Linked DNA regions of Diceros bicornis minor. The protein of the gene in region 3 purifies or fractionates together with the protein of the main gene of each other region. This does not show direct contact. Links are inferred from orthologs where the notes say so. Each region holds a gene or a part of one and is shown on either strand. Other genes may lie near its edges.

Evidence for each region.
Region 1: the proteins of STIP1 (region 3) and HNRNPDL fractionate together in Homo sapiens (co-fractionation; 3 studies listed by BioGRID, with this or other methods). This does not show direct contact. The link is inferred for Diceros bicornis minor from reciprocal best matches to the Homo sapiens genes STIP1 and HNRNPDL.
Region 2: the proteins of STIP1 (region 3) and CCDC117 purify together in Homo sapiens (affinity purification with mass spectrometry; 5 studies listed by BioGRID and IntAct, counting the BioPlex papers as one, with this or other methods). This does not show direct contact. The link is inferred for Diceros bicornis minor from reciprocal best matches to the Homo sapiens genes STIP1 and CCDC117.

What each region holds. Positions count from the first base shown.
Region 1 is NC_080747.1:67,126,373-67,136,413, reverse strand, and holds the start of HNRNPDL (heterogeneous nuclear ribonucleoprotein D-like), read left to right. Parts: upstream 1-6,130; 5' UTR 6,131-6,163; coding exon 6,164-6,606; intron 6,607-7,397; coding exon 7,398-7,566; intron 7,567-7,668; coding exon 7,669-7,830; intron 7,831-8,314; coding exon 8,315-8,446; intron 8,447-8,598; coding exon 8,599-8,713; intron 8,714-9,237; coding exon 9,238-9,408; intron 9,409-9,755; coding exon 9,756-9,826; coding exon of another isoform or gene 9,827-9,848; intron 9,849-10,041. Other genes in the region: ENOPH1 (enolase-phosphatase E1), read right to left, coding at 4,968-5,051. UniProt on the Homo sapiens protein: Acts as a transcriptional regulator. Promotes transcription repression. Promotes transcription activation in differentiated myotubes. Binds to double- and single-stranded DNA sequences. Binds to the transcription suppressor CATR sequence of the COX5B promoter.
Region 2 is NC_080774.1:22,547,665-22,557,165, forward strand, and holds the start of CCDC117 (coiled-coil domain-containing protein 117), read left to right. Parts: upstream 1-5,590; 5' UTR 5,591-5,696; coding exon 5,697-5,878; intron 5,879-6,531; coding exon 6,532-6,585; intron 6,586-9,501. UniProt on the Homo sapiens protein: Facilitates DNA repair, cell cycle progression, and cell proliferation through its interaction with CIAO2B.
Region 3 is NC_080770.1:8,792,262-8,801,965, reverse strand, and holds the start of STIP1 (stress-induced-phosphoprotein 1), read left to right. Parts: upstream 1-5,644; 5' UTR 5,645-5,659; coding exon 5,660-5,677; intron 5,678-8,131; coding exon 8,132-8,341; intron 8,342-8,835; coding exon 8,836-8,977; intron 8,978-9,150; coding exon 9,151-9,292; intron 9,293-9,704. UniProt on the Homo sapiens protein: Acts as a co-chaperone for HSP90AA1. Mediates the association of the molecular chaperones HSPA8/HSC70 and HSP90.

The sequences.
Region 1 (10,041 bases), on a different chromosome or scaffold from region 3:
CCATATAGGGAGGAGCCAGAATGCTAATCCAGACCTGCACAGTCTCCAAACCCATCCTTCTAAATACTACTCCATGCAGTCAATCCTCATATTTGCAGACTCTGTATTTGCAAATTCTCCTACTCACTAAGATTTATTTGTAACCCCAAAATCAACACTCACTGCACTTCCCTGATCATTCAAGGACAGGTATATGTGTAGAGTGGCAAAAATTTTGAAACACCAGATGTACACATTCCCAGCACAAGGTGACGCTTTTCCTTCTTATTTCACCTCATATTTTAAACAAATGTTCTTTTCAGAGTCTATTTTTAGTGCCATATTTTTTGCATTCTGTGCTTTTCACTGGTGATTTTGCAGTTTAAAACAGCCCCCAGGCAAAGTGCTGAAGCGCTGTCTGGTGTTACTAAGCACAAGAAAGCTACGATGTGCCTTACGGAGAAAATATACGTGTTAGACAAGCTTTGTTACAGGGTGAATTACAGTGCCACTGACCATGAGTTCAACGTTAACCACTCAACAATATATATTAAAAAAGGTAAAGAGAAAGACACATAAAACAAGGTTATATGTTGATCAGTTCACAAAAATGTTGTGACCAGAGGCTCACAGGAACCTAACCATGTATTTTCTCTAGGGGCAATGATTCAGTATTTGCTAATACAGTGTTCTCAGTGACTTCATAAAACATAACTACCGCAACTGTTGTTACATGTACAAATTTGACATGTAACAACAGGAAAGCCACCAAATTAAAGAGCATTTTCAGGAACAAGAGATCATTTTCCCCAAACTCAGAAACAACAGTTGAAGGTTCCTGACAGGATAACCACCGGGACTGGTGATGGTGTTATTTCATAAGCTTACAGACTAAAAACATTAGAAGAGTACAACGCACCAAATCAGAAAATGAATATTACATCACCACGGACAAAGATCAAGTGGTGGCTCCATGGGTGCATATACCCCAGGGGCACACAAGATTCAACAGGGTAAGGGAAGAGAATATAACAACGTTCATTTATACTTACTATTTTAATCTCATCTTTAAATTCCAATTTATAACAATAATAGTACAATAATACGTGTACACAATTTATAAATTTTATTGGTAGTGCCTGCTCCAACTCTGCTGATGGTGTATATGAGCAAAAAATGTTGGGAGATCACCACTGTAGAGGATCAGAGTCAGTACCTGAGAAGAAAACAAACTCCAGAGGCACGTTTCCTGCACTGAGGGGCAGGGCTGGTGGCTTTGAGCACTCAGAGGGACTGGGAACATCTAAGGGAAGCTGGGTTCTACTGCTGCTCTGCCCCCAACAAGCTGTGATGATGCTCATACAGGATATCCCTCCAGGCATCAACTGACTCATATGAGCAATTAATTAGCTGGCTACAACATTCACTAGATGATCCTAGCTAGGAGCCCTTCCTGCTCTAGAAATCTGACAAATCTCTGACTCAGAGAAAATAAGACATAATAGCTGGTAAGTAAAACCATTGTTTGTTGTTGTCTGGAGCCTAAGGGCTGAGGCATGATAGAACAACAGGCTGTCCAGAGAACACCACTTCCCAGACTAGGAAGATTCTATGGAATCCCATAAGATATCCCGGACCATTAGTGTATCTTACATAGTAAGGCTGCATCATACACACATACAACTTTAAGTGCTCAGTAAAAAAAAAGAGGAAGGGGAAAAATAACCATAACCAGCGCTGGCATCTGTCTGCCATTCCACTCAGTGAGGGTGTTCTATTCCCTGGGACAGTCTCAGTTCCCCAGTGTCTCTTACAGTGTGAGTGGCTCAGTGTGAGGCTAACGTCTGACACACATATTTCTCATTTACATCACCTAATCTCAAACCAACTACTTCCTCTGGTGCTCAAGGGAAGCAGCAGGGATACGTTTCAACCCTAAAGGAAAAAGGGCTGCACATGACTTACTGAAAGATGGAAATTAGTCTCCAAGGAGGACTGACTTCCTCAGGGTATTTCACGGGCAATTTTTGACAATGCTCTATTTTCACAGTATATACTGACTGCAGAAACAAATCCCCAAATAAAGTAAGACTCAACTAAAGTTATTCTGGTTCCCAGGGTTCACTCCTAAACCTATCATCAAGAGGTAGTGTAAACTGAAATTTGTTACCATCTACTTTTACGGTACTTCATAGTGATTAAAGTTCTCTCGTATCAACTGTGTCATTTAACACACACAGCAGCCAAGCAAAGACGACGAACAAGCACTGTAGTTCCCATTTCAGAGGTCGAATGCAATAACGTAAAGAGTAAGAGTTTTTTGAGTCAGACAATTTGGGTTCAAATCCCAGGCATATTGTTCAATTTTCCAGAGTCTTAGTTTCCTATCAATAAAATGCAGACAGTGCACACACCTCACAGAGTTTTTGACAATGAGTCAAGTATACAAGTAGCATGCATACAGTCCCAATGTTTGTTTCCTTTCATCATTCCACAAGAATTAGGGCTACATGTTCCAACACCTAATGTGACTAATAAAGCCCAAAGTAGAACAAACATCTCACAATTCCCAGCTCCATGCTCAGAGATTCAAGGATGCAATCTCTTTAAGAGGTGTTCAATCTATACAAAAATTGATATATAATAATGTACACCTGAAATTACACAATGTTATAAACCAATATGACCTCAATAAAATAACTGGAAAAAAAATTTAAAGACCAAAAAAAAAAAAAAAAAGGTGTTCAAAAGGTCAGTCCTTGAAATACTCTGCTTGAAGTTTTTTTGTTCAAGCAAATTTGTGAAATGCCATTCTCTTCAAGACATATGTGTGCATATGTGTGTATGATATAAAGGCTCTGAAAAGTCATGCAATAAAGAAACCTAGTTGAACATGTATAGCCTAACATTTCCCAAAAGTGCATTTAATAATGGAATCTTTTTTGCAAAATTACTGTAAACACCCACACAGATCTAATGTTCTTCTGAATACGCTTTTACAAACATCATTTTTGATATATTAATGTGTAACAAATTAATGAGTATTCTAATAAATAATTAATATTAATAAAATAACAATACATTATAGGACAAGGCATAAGAAACTATCCTTTAAACAAGATCCCCAAATCATTTTTTTGCAGTCTGCCTTTAATTTGCCTATAGACTAGTGTCAAGCTCAAAAAAATCTATTTAGGCCATTAGGGCATTTTTACCCTCAGAAAGACCTCAGAATAAGTCTGCCATAAACAAAGATTCCAAGAAGTGGCTCATACTTTCATCTGGCAGAAGACACAGTGGGGGGGGGAAGGTGGTAGAGGCACCTTGTATGTTTTAACAAAATTGATTTGCATGAGGTATCTTATTCCCTAAATCAACTTTCCAAGAATGGTATATATCATATGCCACAATACTCTCTCTCCTGTCATTACCCCTGGTCTCCTGATGACAACGGAAAGTAAGAGAAAGCCAAAATAGAGACAGTGAGCTGTAAACTATAAACCACAAAGATGAGAAATCCTTTTTTCTCTGAAAACTCCAAGAAAGCGGTTATTCTGCCACAATCAACAAGAAAAAGAACGTCAACTCAATTACCAGCATTTGGGCGATCCTGAATTTTTCTGCAGAGGCATCCGGTGTGATTAAAAACTTGGAAAAAAATGCCAAACTAGATTTCTTAAGAATCTGTGCTAAGATGTCAAGGTATTATGATTCTTCTAAAAACTTTGCAAGTGGTCGATATATTGGAGTCCTAAAAGTGTACACTGATTTTATATTATCACCCACTTCAAGACAATCATTCTTCACAGGTAATTTTTTGAAATAAAACTAAATTTAAAAAATTTATGCGCCGGCCCCGTGGCTTAGTGGTTAAGTGCACGCGCTCAGCTGCTGGCGGGCCGGGTTCAGATCTCAGACGCGCACCAACACACAGCTTCTCTGGCCATGCTGAGGCCGTGTCCCACATACAGCAAGGAGAGGGATGTGCAGCTATGACATACAACTATCTACTGGGGCTTTGGGGAAAACATAAATAAATAAAATTATTAAAAAAAAAATTTATAACTTAAAACTTACCAGTTTGTTGGAAGATGGGTTTTTCCTACTCTGTAAATGATATCTCGACTATTATTGTACGTAAGCCTTTCTAGTTAACGCTTTCATCTTAAACCTCTAGAAGTTAAATAAAAAGACGACTAGGCCCAGAGAATTCTTTAAAAAATTATACTAATATTTGATATTTACGTATTCTGACAGACGAATAGAATATGTATAAAAAAGAAACCTGATATAGCGCAAAGTTGTGAGCTTGTGAATCAGGTGTAGACAAATGTTGGTTAACAGGGACACTCTAGGAGGAAGGTTTTGAGTAAGACCTTCAAGCTTCCGTGGTTTTCTGAGGAAAATGAACGAAATCTAAACGTGTTTGTTCTACAGCTTAATAAATCAGCTCTGGGTTCCACCTAGTCCAGTAACATAACAGGGTGCAGTTCGGCCACTAGCAGCAGGAGTGGGAAGGGACGAAGAGCAACCATTATCGCCCAAGATACCAGGGCTACCAGAAAACTCATTTTGACACTTCAGTCTTTCCCTTTTGTGGGACTGGAGCCTCCAGGACCACGAAATCGCGGCCGCCGCCTCGCCAGGCCTCACTCTGCACAAAGCGGGCGCTCACCTGGCCGGCGGGGGCGCCCACGTCGCGTCACCCCGCCCAGGCGGAGCCACCGTCCTCCGCCCTTTCTCGCCACCACCTCCATCCCTTCCCATCCATCTGTATCTAACCAAGGGCAGTGTAAAGTTGGTGCAGTGAGAAAAGCGTCCCTGCATCCCGCCGCAGCCCTTCGGCTTCCTCCCATCCCACTGCGGGTGCAAAGCCACACCGCCTCTCCAACGCCTTGTGTCTCCAGTGCAAGGTCTGCAATACTTAAGAACAAATTTTTAATTATTTTTAAGCACAGGTAAGTTCCCCGCTCCCTTCCGCCCCTCACCTTCACGAAAGCAATCGGGGTTGTGGTACCTTCGATATCTAACAGGATCACAGTGACTTCGGCAGGCACCGAAAGCACGACCATTTCCCTACCGGATGCTACCACTGGAATCGGCCTACTGATAGGGAGGGCGGAGGGCGGCGCCGGCTGCGCCCCAGCACCTGCCCGGGCCTCCGACAGCCCGCAACAATCTCGGAGCCGGAAACCGCGCGCGACCCGAAGCGCGAGGGGTAGAGGCCACCTCCGCGCCCCTAGAAATGCAGAGGGCGGCGGCACGGAGGCCGTGAACTCGCGAGCTGCCAGGGCAGGAGGCCGAGACCACGTGGGCAGTGAAAGGGGGCGGGCCTCGCAGCGTTCCGAGGGGGTGCGGGACGGCAGAGGCGCCGACGCCGATTGGCCGCCAGAGGGCCTCGAACCCGATCCGTCAAAATGGGCCTCGCGTGGGCGGGAACAAAGAAGCGAACGCGGGAGCCGGGTGCGCGGGCGCGCGCTCTCCGCAGACAGGTTGAGCGAGCGGGAGAGGCCCGGGGCACGTGCAGACGGGAGGCCCGCGTGTGGCGCGCCGGGGATGTGAGTGCCCCTTGCCCTCTACGGCACCTAGCCCCCTCCCCGCCCACTGCCTCCGCTTTTGCATATTTACAGTAATCTGACCGGGCCCGCGCCCCTCCTCCCGGCCTCTGCCAGCAAAAGAGGCCGCGCCGCTCCCGGTTCCGGCTCATCGGCAAGGGAGGCCCGCCGCGCCCCCTCAGCCCGCGCGCCGGTGGCCGTAGCGGAAGAGGCACTCGGGCCGCGCCGCTGCCCTGAGGGGCCCCGCGCTCCTGCTTCCTGTTCGGCTGGTTCCAGCCAGCTCGAAGACAAAACACGCGTGCGCGCGGCGGGTGCCGGGCGCAGTCCGCCTTTTTCCGGAGCAGCCCTGCCACGGTGCTAATCGCCAGCAGCTGCCGCCGCAGCAGCTCCGCACTGGGGGACCGAGGGCGGAAAAAGGCGGGGTTGACGGCTCTTTCCTAGGAGTGGGCTGGACCGGACGGCAGAGACAAAGGCTCTCAAGGCAAGAGGGACTGTGGCCCTGTGACGGCGCTGCTCGGGATTTTGGACTCCAGGACTTTTCGCCCCTTCGTTTTTCTCTTCTGACGCTTCTCTCATCCCAAGCCCGCGTCCCCTCTCCCGCGACCTCGCTCCTCACCGGGAGGGCCGCGATGGAGGTCCCGCCCCGGCTTTCCCATGTGCCGCCGCCATTGTTCCCCTCCGCTCCCGCTACTTTAGCCTCCCGCAGCCTCTCCCATTGGCGGCCGCGGGCGCCGCGGCAGCTCGCCCCGCTCCTCCCTTCGCTCGCTCCCAGCTCCGCCCGGCAGGGGGCGCGCCGAGCCCAGCGCCACGTCACCGCCCAGCAGCCCTCCCGATTGGCGGGCGGGGCGGCTATAAAGGGAGGTCGCAGGCGGCGCCCGGATCTCTTCCGCCGCCATTTTAAATCCAGCTCCATACAACGCGCCGCCGCTGCTGCTGCCGCGATTCGGACTGCGCGCCAGCACCCCCCGACCGACAACTCCGCCGCCATGGAGGACATGAACGAGTACAGCAACATAGAGGAATTCGCAGAGGGATCCAAGATCAACGCGAGCAAGAATCAGCAGGATGACGGGTACCACACGCCTTTCCCTTTTCCCCAGCGCGCCGCACGCGCGTTTCGTCCGTGGGGAGCCGCGCGCTGCCCCCATTCTTGCCTCGGGTCCATTCCCCGCGTGCCCGCTGGGCTTCCCTGGCTTGGAGGGAAGAGGAGAGTAGGAGACGGAGGGGGTGACTGGGGAGGCCCCGGAAGGTGGGGGAAGGGCGGAGGGGTTGGAGGAGGAGGGCGGCGGTGTGTGTGTCCCCAGTGCGCAGGCGCCGCGTGGGGCCCGAGGGGGAGGGGCCGCCCTCGCTGCGCCACATGCTGCAGCCGCCGCCGCCGCCTCTTCATTGTGTCTCTGTTGGGGTTCTGCGCAGTGTTTCTGGGGACCGTTTGAAGAAGTTTTGGCGTGGGAACCAGTAGACCAGTGGTTCCCAGATCCCCCGAACGCCCTCTCATGAATTCTTTAGGTGGAACCTGGGCTTGACAGCTGAGGAAGAGGGTGGAACTAAGTTGTGAGGGATCAGTTAGGAAGTTGGATTTTCTAACCTAAAGTTATCTTGAACGTATTTTGTTGGCCTCGTTTAAACTTTGCATTATGCGGTGTGGAGAGCTAACTGTCCACTGTGTTGAATAAGTGACCTTGATGGAATTTGGGGATTTTTGTGGTCTGTTCGTGTGTATCTGTAAGCGTGGATTACATCATTTGTACATAGGGGTAACTTTCCCTGTACTTACTTGGTAGTTAAACGTAATTAATCCCAGAACTGAAGTAATTGTTGGAGCTACTGCTAACCTTTTAAAAAAAACCAAACTTTTATTTCTAGTAAAATGTTTATTGGAGGCTTGAGCTGGGATACAAGCAAGAAAGATCTGACAGAGTATTTGTCTCGATTTGGGGAAGTTGTAGACTGCACGATTAAAACAGATCCAGTGACAGGAAGATCAAGAGGATTTGGATTTGTGCTTTTCAAAGATGCCTCTAGTGTTGATAAGGTAGGAATGTGTTTCACGTCGTGCTGCTTTTGTGTGACTTTTGCGTGTTGTTCGGGGGCTTGGTTGTGCGTTGTTGTCAGATTAAATAAATCTGTCTTCTAGGTTTTGGAACTGAAAGAACACAAACTGGATGGCAAATTGATAGACCCCAAAAGGGCCAAAGCTTTAAAAGGGAAGGAACCCCCCAAAAAGGTTTTTGTGGGTGGATTGAGCCCAGATACTTCAGAAGAACAAATTAAAGAATATTTTGGAGCCTTTGGAGAGGTGCGCTGTGATTATGTTTACGTGTATTTTATATTTAGTGTGTTTATATAATATTCATCCTTGGCCCTCTTCTTACAGAACAAATTCACATGTGAGAGGAGGATGGGATTAAAATACAGCTCAGATCCCTTCCAGTCACCATATTTTAATCACTGTTTTCTGTGCTATAATGGAAACCAATATCTAATTTATTTTGGCCAAAACATGGATGCTTTGGTATGGTCAGTGTTTGGACTTATTAACTGTTGGCATCTGTTGGGTATGAATGATACTAAGTAAAGGAAGTTTTGCTCTCCCCTGTAAATGCTTCACAGTTAAATCACTGTAGTTTGATATTGATAATAAGGCAGTAGTCTCTCTGTAGGAGTCATCTGATTAGAATAACATGTTATATTGAAGCTGGAAAAGGACCTGTGGCATTCCAAGATCTTTTGGTAGCTTTTTACCATTACTGGATGATCTTGAGTGTGCATCTTGATTTCAGATTGAAAATATTGAACTTCCCATGGATACAAAAACAAATGAAAGAAGAGGATTTTGTTTTATCACATATACAGACGAAGAGCCAGTAAAGAAATTGTTAGAAAGCAGATATCATCAAATTGGTTCTGGGAAGGTAAAGCCATTTTAATTATGTTAAGTGAAAAGTTTAAGGAGTTGTGTGTGTGCGTGTGAGAAATTCTTAGTCTGTCTTGATTAGAATAAAATGGCTTAACATAGAATTTCAGTAACAATTCTATTTGTTTGCTTTTTAAAACTTGTTCATAGTGTGAAATCAAAGTTGCACAACCCAAAGAGGTATATAGGCAGCAACAGCAACAACAGAAAGGAGGAAGAGGTGCTGCAGCTGGTGGACGAGGTGGTACTAGGGGTCGTGGCCGAGGTGAGACTTAATTCTTGGGAAATGACTGTGGTTTAACTTATAAATTGCTAAATATGAATAAGCCCAAAGAAAGGAAATCCAAGTTTAAACTTCCAGCATGGAAAATGCTCAGCTTAGTGGGTGGGGTTTTGTTTTTAATGAGTTTACTGGTTTCACCTCTTCAAAGAATGGCCACTCTGACAGTGTCATCACTGATGGGAAAAGAATACCATTAAATGTAGTTTAAACTACATGATACACCATGGCATGATAGGTTTTTTTCGGCAGGAGTCCTTGTTTTAAAGCCAGTCTGTTTTCACCTTTGTCCTGATTTTCCATTAAATTTACGAAGCTTGATACTGGCACAGTTGAACTTTCTGCCCCCTATTTTATGACAACCGGAAAGATCTTTTCTCAAGCAGATAGTATTATGGAAGTCCATTCTGCCTTTTAAGATTTGCAGAGTGAGGGACAGGAACGCATCGTTTTATGTTAGGATTGGGGGTCAGAAGTTGTTTCCTAACAATCATTGTGCATTGTTTCAGGTCAGGGCCAAAACTGGAACCAAGGATTTAATAACTATTATGATCAAGGATATGGAAATTACAATAGTGCCTATGGTGGTGATCAAAACTATAGTGGCTATGGCGGCTATGATTATACTGGGTATAACTATGGGAACTATGGATATGGACAGGGATATGCAGACTACAGTGGTAAGAATATTTAACTTAATTTCATAAACCCAATGGTATTAAAATTCAGTGTTAAAGTACAGTCCCATTCTGAAATTGTGTGTGTGTATGGGTTTTCCATTTATTCAAGTGTTTGGAGTTACGTTTTTGAGGCATCTGATGGTCATAGGATGGTTATATTAATACAGAGTCTTTGTTACATATGTTCTAGAATATATGATAAATGACTATAATGGCTGTCAAAGTATCTGATTATTTTAATACTTATTTGGCATGCAGTGTTTACACATTTAATACTTTTTAAATATACTTATAATGAATATTTCATAGACACTATCTTAATATAAATTTTTGTCTTTACAAAATAGGCCAACAGAGCACTTACGGCAAGGCGTCTCGAGGGGGTGGCAATCACCAAAACAATTACCAGCCATACTAAAGGAGGACATTGGAGAAAACAGGTGTGTATAATAATACAAGAAAGCAGTAGAAATGTCTAATTTAATTTAAAGATCAATAGACAAATGAAAAATAAGTAAAAACAAAATATTATGTAGCCTGTTTTTACTAAATTGTTAATTTTTTAATTGCTTTATGAGCCTGTTTTGCCTAAAGTGTCTATAGATCTTTAACTTTAAAGTCTTATCTCACTTT
Region 2 (9,501 bases), on a different chromosome or scaffold from region 3:
CGCTTGCGCCACCGGGCTCGCCCCTGGTGATTAGTCATTTTATAAGCACTTCTCGTTCCCCTTCCCACTGAACCCTCGAATTGGCCCTTTCAGGCAGGAACTGTCATCCCCATTTCACAGATGGAGAAGGCTTTGAGTGGCAAAGTAGCTCTTCCAAGCTCACGTAATAATAGTTTGGAGGAAAAATCAAACTCAGGTCCCTAATTTCAGAAAATGTGCTCCTGGTACAGAGTGTCAGTTTGGGAAGATGAAAAAGTTCTGCAGGTGGATGGCGGTGATGGTTGCACAACAATGTGAATGTGCTTTATGACACTGAACTGTACACTTAAAATCACACTTAAAAATGGTTAAAAAGGTAAATTTTATGTTATGTATATTTTACCACAATAAAAAAAAGAGAGAAGGAAAATGTGGTCCTAACCACCGATTATACTGCCAGTATTGGCTGAGGAGCCTTCATTACTCTCCATGCTGTTTTTGCATATGTTTGCTTTCCTCATTATGGTAATATTTTATATTTTGTCTGGCCTCTTTAGCTTCAAATTCTCAGAGAAGTAGAGGAAACCTCACTATAACCCCTATATATCTGCTACCCACAATAGTTACCAAACCCCCACAGCATATGTTAGAAAAAAAAATGGCACACACCAGAAGCAGGCAAGGTGGTTTGTCTTGCAAACTGACCTAAGCCAGCTTGGTCATGCATGCATAGCTATCGCTTCCTTTTGGTAGGTGTCAGAAACCACCGAGAGAGTGTGAGGTGAGCGAGAGTTAGTGACTCTCCCACAACCTTCCTACCAGGTTTGTTTTTTCAAAGTTGCACTGAGATATAATTTATATACCATTAAAGTTCACTCATCTAAAGTGTACAATTCAGTGGTTTGAAGCCTATTTACAGAGCTCTGCAACCATCACCAAGATCTAATTTTAGAATACTTTTGTCACCTCAAAAAGAAATCTTGTACCCATTAGAAATCACTCTCCATCCTCCCTGTCCCCTCCCCACTTCCTACCCTAGGCAGATGCTAATCTGTAGATTTGTCTAGTCTGGACATTTCATATAAATGAAACTATATAATAAATGGTCTTTTGTGACTGGCTTCTTTCACTTAGCATAAATGTACACATTTTTGTGTGGACATATATTTTCATTTTTCCTGGGTGTATGCCTAGGAGTAGAATTGCTGGGTCATATGGTACCTCTACATTTAATCTGTGGAGAACTGCCAAACTGTTTTCCAAAGTGGTTGTACCATTTACAATCTCACTAGCAGTGTATGAATGTTCCAATTTCTCCACATCATGTCAACACTTGTTATTGTCTGTCTTTAATTTTAGCCATCCTAGTCGGTTAAGGTAGTATCTCATTGTAGTTTTGATTTGCATTTCTGACTAATGATGTTGAGCATATTTTCATGTTATTTACTAGCCATTTGTCAATCTTTTTTGAAGAAATGTCTAGTCACATCCTTTGCCCCTTTTAAAAGTAAGTTGTCTTTTTATTATTGAGTTGTAAGAGTTTTTTTAATATATTCTAGATAAAAGTCCTGTATTGGATATATGATTTGCAAATATTTTCTTCCATTTTTTGAGTTATCTTTTTGCTTTCTTTTTTTTTTTTTTTTTAATTTATTTATTTTTCCCCCAAAGCCCCAGTAGATAGTTGTATGTCATGGTTGCACATCCTTCTAGTTGCTGTATGTGGGACACGGCATCAGCATGGCCAGAGAAGCGGTTCCTCGGTGCGCACCGGGGATCCGAACCCAGGCCGCCAGCAGCAGAGTGCGCACACTTAAGCGCTAAGCCACGAGGCCGGCCCTTTTTGCTTTCTTGATGATATCCTTTGAACCACAAAAGTTTTTAATTTTGATGAATCCCAACTTATCAATCTTGTCTTTTATTCTTATATGCTTTTGGTGTCATATCTAAGAAACCATTACCTAACCCAAGGCCACAAATATTTACCCCTGTATTTTCTTCTAAGAGTTTTATATTTTTAGGTCAATAATCCATTTTGAGTTAAATTTTGTATATGGTGTGAGACAGGGGTCCAACCTCATTCTTTTGCATGTGGCTATCCAATTGTCCAACATCATTTGTTGAAGTCTATTCCTTTCCTTCGATGAATCGTCTTGGCACCCTTGTTAAAAATCAATTGATTATGAGTGTGAGGGTATATTTGGAATGCGTAATTCAATTCCATTGATCTATATGTCTATCCTTATGCCAATACTGCACTGTTTTGAAGTTGGAAAGTGTGTTGAGAAGCCGGAGCAAGTGTACTGAATTCAGAATATGCAGATTATGACCTGCTGAATGAGGAGGCACAAGCCACCCACATTGGGTCGGCAGGTAGCTCCCTCAGTATCTGAGCTCCCACTTTGGAGAAGTGAAACTTATGGGGTCATTTTGATTGAAGGCACAGTTTCAATACGCCCACACAAAGGAAGTAAAGTCAAAAGATTTATTGCTCACAAATCGCAGAAGTCGGGCCGGGGGTTGCAGGGGGGAACTGCTTGGCACAATGAGCCAGGATAACGGCAGTCCTCCTTCCCAGGTCACTAGCAAGCAGGAGATAGAGAGCCACATAGCAACCACCTATTATTTATAAGGGTGTTGGGGCAGAGGTCGCCAACTTTTCTCGGGCTTAACTCCAAGTGGTTATTTAAAAATGTGCCCCAGGAAAAGCAAAGTGGGAACTTATGGCGGGAATCTTAAGTTCAGGTCCTTACCTAAATGTCCAGATTCGGGGTGTGAGCAGAGTTATCATACTGTAGAATGCCTAGGCAGCAACTCAGAAAAACAAAAGTTGTTTTTCTCATCACAGAAAGTTTGAGTCCACTTCATTCTTCTTTTTAAAGATTGTTTGGCTAATTCTGGGTCCCTGGCTATTCTGACACCAGTGCAATACTGCAGTGTAATTCTGATGCTAACCACCTGCAGTTAGCGTCAGACTCCACAGGTTTGAGGGCACAGGTTTAAGTCCATCAAGATTGCCCTTATTTCAGGGGCCGGCCCGTGGCTTAGCGGTTAAGTGCGTGCGCTCCACTGTTGGCGGCCCAGGTTCAGATCCCAGGCGCACACTGACACACTGCTTGTCCGGCCATGCTGAGGCGGAGATCCACATTAAAGCAACTAGAAGGATGTGCCAGCTATGACATACAACTATCTACTGGGGCTTTGGGGAGAAGAAGGGGAAAAAAAAAAGGAGGATTGGCAATAGATGTTAGCTCAGGGCCGGTCTTCCTCAGCAAAAAGAGGAGGATTGGCATGGATGTTAGCTCAGGGCTGATCTTCCTCACACACACAAAAAGATTGCCCTTATTTCAGATGCTAACCTCAAATGGGGTCCCCAGGTCATCCATACTTAGACTGGCTATAAATCCAAGAGGTTCCCATGACCCCTCTTACGTTCAACAATTCAATAGAATGATTCACAGAATTCAAGAAAAAGTTATATTTATGATTACAATTGTATGCTAAAGGATACAAATGAAGAGACACATAGTGCAAGACCTGGGAGGGTCCTGAACGCAGACCTTCCATGCCCTCTCCCCATGGAATCAGGGCACATTACCCTCCCAGCACATTGATGTGTTCACCAATTTGGAAGCCACCGAGTTTTGGTGTCCAGAGTTTTTACTGGGGTTTTATTATGTAAATATTATTAACTGAAATGTTTGGCCAAGTAGTTGAATTCAAGCTTCAGCCTCCCTCCCTTCCCTAGAGGCTGGGCTAGCTCAAAGCGCTAATCTTTTAATCACATAGTTAGTCTTTCTCGTGACCAGCCCCCATCTGGAGTCATCTCATTCATTAGCATCAACTCTGGATTGAAATGACCTAGGAGACTATCTTTTATATCCAGTTGAGGTAAGTAAGGGACGTTAACTTAGGCAAAAATGGATTGTAAATGCCACAAAGAAAACTTAAACCTAATCTATTATATTACATTAGGCAAAAGGGGTTCATTCATTTTTTCTTAGACCATAATGAGGGCAACGGAGATGGAGAAAAATGAAGAGAATCTGGAAGCGTGTCACAAGTAAAGCCCATTGGACTTGCTAACTGATTAAATACAGGGCTGAACAAAAAAGAGACATCAATGATGATGCTTAGGTTTTTGGTTAGAAAGAGAAAGGCATCTTCTGACAGCTAAAACTGGCCTTATACTGTCAGGTAACACTTGGTGTCCTCCTATTAAACAATTTCACAGAATGTCAGTATCGAACAGGGACTAAGATGTGACTTCGATGGATCAAGATAAAAACAAAACCACTTCTGGGCCGGCCCCGTGGCTTAGCAGTTAAGTGCGTGTGCTCCGCTACTGGCAGCCTGGGTTCGGATCCCAGGCGCGCACCGACGCACCGCTTCTCCGGTCATGCTGAGGTGGCGTCCCACATACAGCAACTAGAAGGATGTGCAACTATGACACACAACTATCTACTGGGGCTATAGGGAAAAACAGAGGAGGAGGATTGGCAATAGATGTTAGCTCAGAGCCAGTCTTCCTCAGCAAAAAAAAAAAAAAAAAAGAGGTGGATTAGCATGGATATTAGCTCAGGGCTAATCTTTCTCACACACACACACACACAAAAAAACCACTTCATATTCATGTCTGAAGACAAGACAAAAATGTGAGCATTGTCCAAACCACAAAAATGACCAAACATTCCCCTATCCTGGCTAGTAGGAAGGACTATTGCTTCCCTACCAATTATAGGTTTAGCCTCCCTTCATTCCTCCCACCTTCTCGAAAAGATGGACTAAAATAATCATAGAATTATCCCTGCTTCCTGACAGTATTAATTCCAGAGCAAAGTCCTGCTTCCTTCAACCTTCCCCCAAATCACCTAAGACACTCCCAAATCCTATAAGAAGCCTTTTCTAACACCCTCTTACTGAGATACTCCCTCACTGCAAAGAGTCAGTAAATCCATCTTTGTTCAATTATAGGTGTGCTCTTGGTGGTTTTTGGCTGAAGGGCATTGATGTTGGCATAAACAACTCAAACTGAATGAGGGTATACCCTGAGAAGGGAAAAATGGAGTCGACCATCTTTGCTAGCCTTTCTGACAAGCCTATATCGCTGGATGCCCCAGGTAGAGGCTGGAAGGCTTACCAGTACCTCTCAGAAGCGCTCTGAGGTTTTCACTGATCCTCCACGCTGTTCCCTCTAAGGTATCACCAACTTATATTAAAACATAGAAGGAATTAATAGCTGATCTTTAATGAGTGTGTACTATGTGCCAAGCAGTGTTCTAAAGGCTCTAGATGATTTAATTCATTTACTTCTCCCATCAACTCTATGAAGTAGGTACTGTTATTATCGGGTTTTACTACTGAGAAAAGTGAGGTAAGGAGGTTTACATAACTTGCGGAGTGAGTATTCGAACCTGGTCACGTTCTAGGCCCACCAGAGCCGTCCTCAAGCCCCGCGGCTAGGCCGAGGCAGCCATCTTGTTTGTAGTCTGCAAAGACTGCAACTCCCGGCATCCCTCGCGGCAGCAGCTCTCCACACACAACAAATCCCGGCGTGCCCCTGGGCGGCCCGGGGTGGAGGGTTCTAGAAGGCGTGACGTGGGGTCGAGAGCGGGCTCGGAGGCGGGCGCCTCTTGGCAGTCGCTGTGGCCGCAGCTGCTGGGTCTGGGGACGCGGGTGGCCGGGGACGCGGGCGCAGCCTCCTCGTCTCCCCGGCCATGGCCGCGCTTGGCCGGCCCTTCAGCGGCCTCCCCCTGAGCGGCAGCTCGGACTTCCTGCAGCCGCCACCGGCTTTCTCCGGCCGGGCCTTCCCGCCGGGGGCGGACGGCGCCGAGCCTGTCCCGCGGCCGGGACCCCGCGCCGCCCCGAGCAGCGCCGGCGGGAGCGCGGCGCGCGGACGGTGAGGAGCCCGGCGGGCGCGGGGCGGCGGGCGAGCGGGCTCGTTAACCTCTCTCCCCACGACCCTCTCAGCCCCGGTGTACCGGTAAGGAAACTGATCCCCAGAGACGTTAACTGTAAGCCGGCGGAGGGCGCGCAGCCGCCGAGTCGGGCTCGCACCTGGGCCGGCCGGCGCCTCCGGGAAGTGAGGAGACTTGCCCAGGCGCGCCGGCTCGTGCGGGGATCGGAGCCCGGCCGCCCGGAGCCTGGATGTCCCCGCGGCGCGGCCGCTGATGCTGACAACTTCCAGCGCCGCTCGGACGCTCAGTTTCCTCATCGGCGGAGTGGGACAGCGCTGGGTCCTCCTAGTGGGAGCGCGGGAGTCGAGTGCTCAGCGCAGTGCCTGCCCGAGGACGCTCGCCCGCCGTAGGCGCCCCCACCCTTAGCTCCCTCCACCTGGACCAAAGGAGAGGTTGAGATTCAGCCTCTAGTTGTGTCAGGAGCAGCAGCGTTTACCTGACTGACATTGTGACTTGTGTATCCGTCTCACTCGGCGAGGACGGGGACAGCTAGTCCGTGTGGGGTGGGCAAGGTTATTGGAGCAAGAAAGAGCGGATGCCGCGAGCGCAAGCCCAGGCCGTTTCTCAGTTGACTGATTTTTGTTTGTTTCAACAGTGTTTCAGGTCGCGGTAGAAAGAAACACAAGCGGGAGGAGGAGGAGGAGGATGAGTAAGTTTCAGGTGCCATTTATTCACTTTATGGTCACTTAATTTAAGCTATTTTGTATTCTCAACTACTTATTTTAAGTGGGAAGGTGAAACAGGTGTCCCTGAAAGGAGGCGCAAGGAACTGACAACGCGGTTACCTTTTAGGGAAAGTAACTGGGTGGCTGGCAGGTCAGAGGGAGACTTTCCACTCTAGAACCAATTCTGAACGTTTGAATTTTGAGCCGTGTGAGTATTATTACATGCACAAAGTAAAAATTCCAAATGTGCGAAAGGATGCACATTGAGAAGTCTTACACTCGGTGCTCACAGTCCTCCCCAGAGCTCACGCCTCTTACCTGTTGCCCGTTCCCCTTTGGAAGATAACCAGAAAACCTACGAGGTTATGACTGTATATACTTCTGGTTTTTTACATTAGTAGGAAGATACTGTTCACACTGTAACACATTGGTCTTTTCATTTTACTTCCTGTAGCTTGTTGCATGTGGGCACATAGAGTTCTACCTGATTTCCTTTTCAATAGTTGAATGGAATTGTTGTAAGGCTAGGCATAGATAATTAACCAGTCTTCTATTGATGGATTTCTAAGTCATTGCTAATGTTTTGCTATTACTAACCATGACCGTTATGCAAGTAGGTGAATGGATTCCTCGATGGGGAATTGCTGGGTCTTAAAAGTGTATGCATTTCAGGGGCCGGCCGGTGGCGCAGCTGTTAAGTGCGCGCGCGCTCCGCTTCGGCGGCCCGGGGTTCGCAGGCCCGGACCCCGGGCGTGCACTGGCGCACCGCTTGTCAGACCATGATATGGCGGCGTCCCATATAATATAGAGGAAGATGGGCACGGATGTTAGCTCAGGGCTAATCTTCCTCACACACAGAAAAAACAGTGTATGCGTTTTAAGTTTTGAACAAGAGTTTTGCCAATTTTTATTTCTTTTAACAGTGGGAATTTCTCTTTCTGCATCTTACCGGAGCTGTATTTTCAAACTTTTTGACTTATTTGATAGGTAAAAAGTTGCATCTCATAGACAGTCTGTGAGAAAGATGAGTAAAAGAATTCCCGGAAGATGATTTCCAAATGACCAGCCAGATGAAAAGATGTTCAATCTCATCAGTCTTTAGGGAAATGTATATTAAAGGTACAGTGAGCTACTTACTCTACTACCAGATATTGGAGCGGTCGTGGAACACCAGGAACTCGCACACAGTATGGCTGAGGATGTAAATTAGTACAAGCACTTGGAAAACAGTTTGGCATTATCTAATAATTTGAAGGCACACATACCCTTTTACCCACCAGTTCCCCTCTTGAGTATGTACACACAGACATTGGGAGACACGTACAAGAAAGTTCATAGCATCCTTGCTGGTAATAGCTCAAAACTGGAAACAACCCAGATGTCCCTCAATGGTAAAAGGGATAAAGTAAATTATAGATTCATACAATGGAGTTCTGTTCAGCAAAAAAAAAAATGAATTACACCTGTCAACATGGATGTGTCTTATAAGCATAATATGAGCAAAAGAAACGTCACAAGAATGTATGCAGTATAATTCCCTAAATGTAAGGTTCAAAACCAGGCAAAACTAAACATTGTTTAGGGATGCATATCTGCACGTGTGATAATTTTTTTTTTTTTTTTTTTACTAATATCCATAAAAGACAGTGTTTATGTGTAGGGAGGAGGGAATAGAGTATCATTTGGGGATGCTGGCAGCAGTCTGTATTTTGAATATTACTTTCATGGATGTTTTGTAATTATTCATTAAATAATGAATAATTCATTGTACTTCTATGAGCGTAAGAGTTTATAGTTTGAAAGAAATTAGATCAGTGTTTTAATTTGTGTTTTGTGAATTACAGGTGATGTTGAACATCTTTTGATTTAAGCCATTTGTGTTTAATTTTGTGTGAATTGTTCATGTTTCTGCAGGTTTTTTATTGGCTTATTGGTCTTGTTAATCTGTAAGAAATATTTATTAAAGAAATCAGTTTATGATGTGTGTTATACGTGTCTTTCCAAAATTGGTCATTTGTGTTTTAGCTTTGTGTTTGATTTTTTTTGGCCAGCAGAAACTTTGGATTTTCTAACCTTGTTGATACATAGACTAATAAGACAGTAGATTTGAAAGGTGCCTTTGTGTTTTGTTTTGTTGTGTTTTGCTGAGGAAGATTCGCCTTGAGCTAACATCTGTTGCCAATCTTCCTCTTTTTGTATGTGAGCCACTGCCACAGCATGGCCACTGACAGACAGTGGTGTAGGTCCGTGCCCAGGAACTGAACCCAGGCCGCCAAAGTGAAGCGTGCCAAACCTAACCACTAGGCCACCAGGGCTGGCTCTGAAAGTTGCCTTAGTTTAAAAACCACTGGACCAGACAATATGTTCTTTATTGCCTTGGGGTTGCTGTGGATACCCAGGGACCTCTTTGCTATTATCTTTTGGGGTTCTCTTTAAGAGGTTATTGAATAAAGAGTTCCAGTGTTAAAAATAAAAAATTTGAAGTGTAAAAACTATTGGCTTAAAAAGTTAACCACCTATAATTTACAGATGGAGAGATTGAAGCTCTGTGAGGATGAGGGACTTGACATTTGGATGTCTGATGCCCAGAAGTGTGCTTCCCAGCTGCCACTTCCATAGCTCTTATCAGTACTTTGAAGTATTTTATATCACATTTTCTTTGGGACTTAATCATCATTGATCTCTAATTATTTGCAAAATGGACCTACAAGCATGAAATAATTTAGTCCAAATCATGTTGGAGGTCAGAGATCAGAACCCAGCTCTTAGACACAGTTACGTTAAATAGTTGAATTGTTAGGTGTGCTAGGAAATTAACTGTTCCCCTCTAGATTTATTTCGGCTCTTTCTTAGCTGGTTTCTTATGTGTATAACTTTTTCTTCTGCTTTCCAAACATCAC
Region 3 (9,704 bases):
AGGACACCTCCAAAGTTTTCAGCCTGAACCAGTCCACGAATAGCAAGGCCATTGACGAGAGGGCTGTCAAGAGAGGGACAACTCGGGGGAGAACATCGGAGCTCCAATTTGCACATGTTGGAAAGTCCATCCGTCATCCAAGCAGAGATATCAAGGAGGCAGCTGGACAGACAAGTCTGGAAGTTGGGAGCGAGATCTGAGCTGAAGATAGAAATGCGGGAGTCATCCGAGAGGGTATTTATAGCCACGAGCCTGGCTGAGATCGCCCGGGAGGGTGTGCATGGCCAGGCCCCGGGCTGGACTCTGGAGCTCTCTGATGAATAATTATTGGATAATAATGACCATTCTTTTATTCCTTGAAGCATCTGGCATGGTGCTTGGCTCTCTGTACGAGATCATTGATTGAACAGAACTCCACGGCACTTCATTTCCCCCACACTTTCCCCGCTCATCAGGACTCAGATTCTCTCTCAGCAGGACAGCTGGAAGTCAGGAGCACGCAGGAAAATATTCTTTAGGAATTTCTCAGAACGCAGAATGGATCTAGGCTCTCACTTAGAGAAGGAAACTCAGGTTGCGTGAATTCCCACTCCGATAGTGACAGTTCTTCTAAAAACAAATTCCATGTTCTACACACCCCAGAATTCCGAGCTGCAACCTTCCATCATGCCCACCCCTCACCCCCAGGCTAAGCTTCCTGAGTTCCAGCTGTTTTATTTTTTCTGATTGTGGGAGAACTTTAAAATTGGGGGTTTGCTCTGCTGAGAATCTGGTCACGCACGTTGAGCCCTTCAGCCTCTCATTCGCTGCAGGATCTACGGCCTCAGAGTTGATGCCAAATCCAGCCGTTCTGCTCCCCACCCTGAGAGCTTGGCACGGAAATAGCAGCATGAATCACTCTGGAACTGTGGTGCAGTGCATGGGCCAGGACGCCTTCTGTGGCGGAGCTTCTGCTTGTGTTCCAGGGATCTGGGGAAGGGGACACTGGCCAGGCCGCATTGCCGCCTCCCTGCCCCCTCAGGAGGGCTCCGAGTTCACCGAGAAACCTGGAGAAGCCCAAGTGGGTGGAAATCATAAGAGCTAACATTTCTGAATGTTCAGAAGCGGCTTCACTGTGACACCCAATAAGCCTAAGCTTCAGGGTCCCCCATTTCCACCCTTTCTAGAGCTCCATACTTCATTTTTTACTTTGTATTTTTCTTTTCTCAAAGAAGGCTCTCAAATTTTTATAGGTTTATGAGTATGGGTTATTTTGTTTAATCCTCATAGTAACCTTGGGAAATCATCGGCCCTTCATCATCTCCATCTACAGACAAGGACGCTAGAGCACAGAAAAGCCTTCCTTGGATTCCTTGGAAATTCCAAGCTTATTTCAGCCTCAGGGCCTTTGCACCTTCTGTTGCCTGGTCTGGAAGCCCGTCCCTGGCTGGCTTCTCATCACTCCAGGTCTAAGGGGCCTTCACTAACCACCCACCCGTAGGCGCTCCTTCCTTCCCTGCCTCCCTGGTTACCCTCATCCCTTACCTTTTGCTTCCTTCATAATGCTCACCACTCTTTAGAGTTCTCTTCATTTGTGCATCGATGTCTACTTAAATGCATATAGTGCTTGCTCTGTGGTCAGGCACTGTTCTCTGCGCCTCACAAATATCAAATAATTTCATCCTCACAACTAGTCTGACATTGAGACTTTTTCATCCACGCCTTGAAATGGAAGCAACTGAAGCACAGAGAGGTGAAACAGGCGGCCTGAAGTCACACAGCTGAGGAGGTGAAGTCTCATCTGTCTCTCTCACTAGAAGAGATCCACGCAAGCAGAAGCGGCATCTGTGGGCTGCCTTGTCCACTGCTGAGCCCCGGCACCCAGAGCAGCGTGCCACACACAGCAGGACTAGAAAAAAGGTGTGTGGGAGACGATGAGACCACTTCACTCAGAGTGAGGAGTGGGAAGGAAGCCGGGAGAGATGCTGTGGGGAAGGTGATGGAGGCAGAGCTGGTCTGGGGGGCAGCAGAGGGACTGGCAAGTGTGTGGTCTGGAGACGGTGCCAGGAAGACATGAAGGTCTTCTGGGCAGATTTAACTCAGCAAATAAGAGAGAAGGCCACCAGCCTCAGTGTCACCTCCTTCCTCCATGCTCTGCATCCAGGGCATCGATCCATCCTGTTGGCTCTTCCAAAGTGCATCCGGGACCCAACGTTTCTCTCCCCTCCTCTGCTCCCACCCTGGCCCAGGCCACCATCACAGCTCCCCTGGATTATTACAACGGCCTCCTAAGAGGTCTCTCGGCTTTTACCCTGGCCCTCTTCATCTTCACAGCAGCAAGAGGGATCCTGATAAGACTAAGTCGGATCATGTCAGTCTTCTGCTCAAACCCTCCGGGCACGTTCCAGAGTGAACACAGTGGCCTCCCACCCTGCAGGACCTGGCCCCTGCTTTGTCTCCGCCTGGCTCTCCCACTCCCCACTCCCCGTGCTCCTGCCATTCTGGCCACCCCAGGGCCTTTGCACTGGCTGTTCCCTCTGCATGGTACTTCTTCAGAGTTTAGAAAATCTCACTCCCTCACTTCCTCAGGACTTTTCTCAAATATTAACTTCTTACTGAGGTCTGCCCCGGCCCCCCTCACCCAATGCTCCTTTAACCTGGTCCCTGCTTATTTTTCTCCACTGCACTTAAGCATATATACTATATCAACTTTTTTTTAGTTTGTCTCTCTCACTAGAATGAGGTCCACGGGAACAGGGATTTTGTCCGTTTGCCCCACTGCATTGGGCCCACAATCAGCCCTGACACATACCAGGGCGATCAGTAATATTTGCCGGATTAGCGGACGCCTGCTCTGAGCCAGACACTGCGCCATGCACCTGGAACACAAGGCTCAAGACACAGGGCCCTCGCAGACCTCACAAAATGTGGCCCTGATACCAGAGCTGCTGGTTTAGCTTGTGAGGGGACATACGTGTAACCCACTGTGATGCAAAAGCAAATAACAAGCGGACAGAAATGAGTAAGCTTGTTAGGGGCAGGTGGCCAAGGAACCCTGAAGCTCATCTCAGCCTGGAAGACAGGGTGCTAACCTGGCACAGCTGGTGGAAGGGGATCCCAGTGGAGGCCACAGCATACAGAGAGGCCCAGGGTGAAGGAGCCTGCTGAGTTCAAGGAGCAGAGGAGGGCCGGCCCAGCGGCTTAGCGGTGAAGTGCGCGCACTCTGCTGCTGGCGGCCTTGGGTTCGGACCCCGGGCGCTTGCACACCCTGCTTCTCCGGCCATACTGAGGCCACGTCCCACATACAGCAACTAGAAGGATGTACAACTATGACATACAACTATCTACTGGGGCTTTGGGGGAAAAATAAAGAAATAAAATTATCAAAGAAAAAAAAAAAGGAGCAGAGGACACGTAGGGCTGGAGTTTGGTGCTGACGGGGGGGGGGGGGGGGGGGGGGGGGGGGGGGGGGGGGGGGGACGACACGACGGGGACGGGACGGGACGGGACACAGGGAAGGTAGAGGCAGAAGGGCTGGCCTGCCAGATTAGACAGGCCCTGAGTCCCACACAGCCTCCAGGTTTTAAGCGAGGGCTGGGGTGACTTTGGTGTAGTGTTGAGTGGGTCAGAGGCAGCTGGGGTGGAAGAGGAGGCTGTGGAGGCAAGTTATTCGAAGCGAGATGGCCCTTAACCTCCTAGAAGGGATGCCATTGCCCAGAGAGGGGTGAGAATTGGGCACAGCAGGGCCCAAGACTCGCACCCAAGTCATGCGGCTCCTCTGTTCCATGAACCACACACTGATCCAGGGAGAAAAAAACAGCATCTTAATCCCGAGGGCCGTCTCGCCCACGCGCTAAGCCGTTTCCCCTCCCTTGGGTGCCTGCTCTGCCCCTCGCACATGGGCTGCGATTTAGGGCCCTCCGCCCACCAGGTGGCCAAACCCCTCACTGAGGTCTTTGTTTCCTTCACCAATTTGCATCCCAATAATGGAGGCGGCTCCCTTTCATTAAGTGCTAAAAACTCGACTGCATGACTAGGAACCCTCCCGCGGCCCTAGATCATCAAGCCCTACTCGAGAGGATCAGAGAGGGTGTGCGTCTGCACTAAGGGGACCAGCGGAGGCGCCCCGCCGGGGGAGAGCCGGGTCTGTAATGCCCGACCCCAGCGCCCTCCCCGCCACGCGGTATCTGAACCTTTGGAACCTAACAGCGGGGTCCGGGACGGGCCAGAGAGCTCGCCCCAGACCGACCCGAACCGGCTGGGAACCCCGAGCCCGACGCACGGGCGCAGGACCGGGGCTCTCGGCCGGCCTCGCGAGAACCACGCGGGACGCGACCCCAGCCAGCCGCCCCGCAGCCCCCGGAGCCCCCGCGGCAGACGGTGCTGGGGCCTGGGACGCCCATCAACCACCTCAGCGGCGAACCCCACGCGCCCTTTAATGGACAGCCATTTAGACCTATCAGCGCAAAGTGTCGGCAACTGTCCGCCCAATAGAATTTTTTTTCATCTGAAGGAGGTTCGTTCATGGAGACCGTCAGCCCAATGGGAGAGGTGGAAATTTCCAGAAAGAACAGGACCAATGGGTGCGGCCAGCGCTGCTACGATTGGCGGACCAAGCGACCAATCCCTGTCGCAGAAGACCGCCCCCCCTCCAATCGTGGGGTGGGCGGGGCTTGTCGGGGAGCGACCAATCCCGAGGGGCGGGGGAGGCAGGACAGAGGGGATTACTCCCCGCTGTCCAATGAGAGAGAAGCGAAGATGATGGGCTGGAGTTCAGGCCAATAGTAGAGAAGCAGGGAAAGCCCTCTAGAGGAGCGCGACCAGTGAGCAGGCAAGGCAGGGGCGGGATCCGGGGGTCCCGGCAGCTTCTAGTAGGTTCCAGAAGGCGGCGCGTGCGGTTGGGAACGCGGAGCGGACGGAGTCGATTCAACGGGGTTCCGTGCCGGGCTATGGAGCAGGTGAAGGGGGAGGGGCGGGCCCAGGCCCGGGGCCGCGGCGGGACCGGCGGAGGCCAGGCCGCGGCGGAGGGGCGGGGCGGCGCCGGGCCGGCGAGCGGCGGGGCGGCGCGGGCGTGAGGGCCGAGGCGGCGAGGCCGGGCCGCGGGAGCGCCCATCGCTTGCAGGCCCGGCGAGGAGGGCCGGGGAGGCAGCAGCTCGGCCCGCGGCCGGGCCCGGAGGCCTCCAGGGAGGTGGCTGCGGGCTGAGCGGGGCATGGCGCCGGAGGGATGGAGGGGCCCCGAGAGAGGCGGGAGGGATCGGTCCACACCAGGGACCTCGCCGCTGGGAGATCGGAAGTCGCCGACGAGGAGGGCACCTCGGGCTGGGCCACGGTTGACTGGGGGGAATGCGGAGACGCTCTGGAAGGAGCCGGGAGATTTGGTAGGCAGTTGGGGGACGCTGCTGTCCTGCATCGGGAAGGGCCGCGATGGAAGGGCGAGGGGCTGAGGAGCCGCGGGCCAACTTCTGATGCAGGAGGGAGGTTGCTGCACAAGTCCTTGGAACGAATTCCCTCCCTGCCAGCGTTTCGCAAATAGATGGGCGGCCTCTCCTCTTCCTCCTCCTCTTTTTTCTTTTTGTTTATTTGTGTGTGATTCAGGAGTAACAAGACTAACGTTTCTGAAAAGTCGGTTTCTAGTTAATTACACAAGGAGGGATCGGTCGCCGTAGGAAATTTAGGCAGTATGGATCAGCAGCAAGAAGTAAGTTGTTTGCCTCCGCTCAGCATCTTTGGGAGACCGAGTTTGAAGCTGCTGCTGGTTACTTGCAGTGGCTTAATTATATCCTGAGTGGCCTGAAGGTTGTGAAAGCCTGGAGAGATTTTATTCGGTTGGAAGCTGTCATTGAGCTGTAATGAATGATCGAACTGGGGGGAACGAAGAGAAGAGGGTTCGTTTTTTGTGGCAGGATCTATAAAACAGAACATTCTGCTGTAGTATAGCCATTGCTCCTTGAGCGACATCTGGAACTTCTTTGAGGAGTTAAAAGACAAAAATTAATAAATTTTTGCACTCTTGTGATAATTAAATTGTATCTGGGATTAAATAGGCTGTAGTATAAGCAAAAAGATTTCCAGGTTGAGAAACATATTATTCTGTTAAATTTAAGAAAGGAGCTTGTCCCGCAGTTATTAAAATAGAAAAAATATTTAAAAAAAAATCATGCTGCCCATTATAGGAGTGTATGCACAGGTAGACTGTAAATGAATGTTTCACTAAACTCAGAACTGCCAGTTTACTGTGACAGTGGTACAAACGGCCTGGCATTTTCGCTCCAGGTGTGTTAGAACCTACCTTTCCGCTTGTGACTTCTCTACCTATTTGCATTTTCGACTCCCAGATCCATATTTCAGTTTTAGGAGATATTGAAGTTGGACAGATTTAAGTGTCCAAAGTTGTCTTTTTTTTTTTTTTTTAAGTATCTTTCAAATAAATACATCCCACAGTGATACACTTTTCACACTTGACCCAGTAAGGGCATACAACTGGATAACGCGTTTCACAAAACGATACTTACTGTTATGTGCACTGCATGCTGGTATTTTTTCTCCCAGTTGATGTTTTAAAGCACTGGTCGTGACCTACAGACTTGATTTCCTGACCCACTGCAGGCGGTAGTCAGTTTGGAAAAGGATGTTCCGTAGGATAGACGGGAACTTTCTTGAGCTGTTCCCAGCTGCCTCTTGATACTAGCGGAGTTTTTAAAGTTTGTTCCTTTTGGTCTCCATCCTAGGCCCAAAGGTTTTTGTCCCTGCTTGGCAAGTTTGGCAGTCTCCTTTTGCTTTTTCCGTCTTTGAGGTTGTTTTCTAAGATCTCTCTGGTTCATGGAGGGAGGTTCCCAATTGGTGTGCTTCAGGGTTCCAAAATCATCTCTCTTAACAGAGTATTTTTTTGTATCAGTATACTGGGTCGTGGGTAGATGATAGAAAGAAAGAACGGTTTGGTAACTTGAAGGGTATGGCTCCATATCAAGAAATGTGTTTGCGGGCGGGCCCCGTGGCTTAGCGGTTAAGTGTGCGCGCTCCGCTGCTGGCGGCCCGGGTTTGGATCCCAGGCGCGCACCGACGCACTGCTTCTCCGGCCTCATGGCCGCGTCACACATACAGCAACTAGAAGGATGTGCAACTATGACATACAACTATCTACTGGGGCTTTGGGGGGAAAAAAAGGAGGAGGATTGGCAATAAATGTTAGCTCAGAGCCGGTCTTCCTCGGCAAAAAGAGGAGGATTTGCATGGATGTTATCTCAGGGCTGATCTTTCTCACAAAAAAAAAAAAAGAAAAGAAAAGAAATGTGTTTGTGTTGGAAGTTGGCCCTCCCTCTCTTGTAGGACATCCCTGGTTAGGAGAAACCCCTTTAATTAGGACCCTGTTCTGACATGGCTGGGGCCTCCTTCACTTTTTTAAACCTTCCCTTTGGTGTGTTCCTGCTTCTTTCATGCTGAATGTTTGAGAGGATAGGGGGTTAAACCACAAACAGTGTTTTTTTATCCTCTTCCATCCCCCTTGTAATATGTTAATGTTTAAGCATGCCAGAAACTGACTTCGGGGGGCTAGCTTTCATTTACCTTTTAAGGAACGGAGCAGTAATGTACTGTGTTGTGACATATCACCACACCTCTAGATGGAAGTAGATTCTCCTCTGACTGTGGGTGGGCATTCTGATGCTCCTGGAGACGCCGTCCCAAAGCCTTTTTGGGGCTGGAGCGTGTATCAGTGTATCTGTGCGCACTTGGCCCACGCCCGTCCTGCTCGCCTCCTCCCGTGAGCAGGAACTAGGCCTGTGTGCAGTTTACCGTTTGGACTCTTTGGAAATATATGGCAAATGAGTTTATTTCCATGGAAGGAGCTCACGAGTATGTCCTAGAGTGGCCTCGTCAGCTCGAAGTAGAGACTTGTGGAAGAGTGGCTGGAGTTCTTGCTGATCCGCGCGGGAGCCGGTGCAGAGCAAAGTGTCAGGCTTCTAGTTCCTGGTTATTTTCTTTTTTCCTTGCCTGTTCCCAAAGATGTGGAAAATATAAACGAATTAGCTTATGATTTTTTTCTTCTGATCTATAAAGTAACCTATTTATTGATAGCTGCAGAAAAGAATGTTACCTAAAAACTTGAGACTAAAGAAGCATGTTAAGGGAACTACATCAGTCCTTTTCTCTGTAGGTGAACGAGCTGAAAGAGAAGGGCAACAAGGCCCTGAGTGCCGGCAACATCGACGATGCGCTGCAGTGCTACTCCGAGGCCATCAAGTTAGATCCCCAGAACCACGTACTCTACAGCAACCGCTCGGCAGCCTACGCCAAGAAGGGGGACTACCCAAAGGCTTATGAGGATGGTTGTAAAACCGTGGACTTAAAGCCTGACTGGGGCAAGGTAAGCGGTGGGTGAGTTGGGGCTCTTCAGACTTCCAGAAATGCCGTTTGGTATACAGTTCTTAAATATAGGGACCCCCCTGACCGGCCAGTGGCCTCTGCCAATAAACTAATAGTTTATTACCCACCATCTTCCCTACTGTTTGAGTATGTTCCTTCGAGTAATGGCAGATTTCATCAAATCGGAGATACCATCATATATTAAGACATGTCTTACTCTTTGTACTACTAAGAAAGAAAATGCTGCCAAAGAAAGGGAGAGTTCTTGATCATAGATGGGTTGGCGGGGGAGGGGCGCATCTTTGGTATTTGGCTGGAGTCTTACAGTATCAGTCTTGGCCTTGTGTCCTGCTCCTCTCCCTGTCTGTTCTTGGGCCTTCACGTGAATACCCATTTTGTTCCATGAAATGTAAGATATGTTCTTTTGAGTTGGTCTTCTGGCTTTACCTGCGGGTGTCCTTTATTTTGTTTTGTGTCTGTCTTTGCTGGTTTAAGGGCTATTCTCGAAAAGCAGCAGCTCTGGAATTCTTAAACCGATTTGAAGAAGCCAAGCGAACCTATGAGGAGGGTTTAAAACATGAGCCAAATAATCCTCAGCTCAAAGAGGGGTTACAGAATATGGAGGCCCGGTTGGCAGGTAGGCACCATGTATACTGTCTTTTTCTTTTTTTTTTAATTGCTATTTTTTAAATGGGATTGAGTTTGAGGCTTTTTGTCCTCCCGTGTGTCAGTCTGGTTGGTAGACTACGGGGGCATAGTAACTCACATGAACTGACTTCCTAGTGAGGCACTTTTCTTTCTTGGGAACAGAGAGGAAGTTCCTGAACCCTTTCAACATGCCCAATCTGTACCAGAAGTTGGAGAGTGATCCCAGGACACGGTCGCTGCTTGCCGATCCCTCCTACCGGGAACTGATCGAGCAGTTACGAAATAAGCCGTCCGACCTGGGCACGTAAGTCGAGGTGGCACGGGTTGTCTCTGGAAATGGCCGGGAACACTGCTTCTTCCTGGGAGCCTCTGGCAGGAGGTGCCCTTGTTACGGACTGCAGGCTTTCTGCCTTTGCTTTTTCTCCAAAGAGCAGTAGGAGTTTGTTGGTTTGCTTGCTGTTTATTTGTATTTCTAGAATGGGTCACGGGAGGCATATGTCAGTAATCTGGAACGTTCATTCTAACCCTCACGTGCCTTTTCATTGCTCTCCTACAATTCTGATCTAGCGCCAGCCCTGTCCTTGCCATACCCTAGGCCCCACTGTCTCTGTGGGTATATTGGAGTGGAAACGCAAGGTTGAGAAGGTCAGGTGTAAAGCTGGGTCTCTAAACCTTGTCCTGGTGTCTGTGACCGTCTGAAGTCAGATGATGAAGCA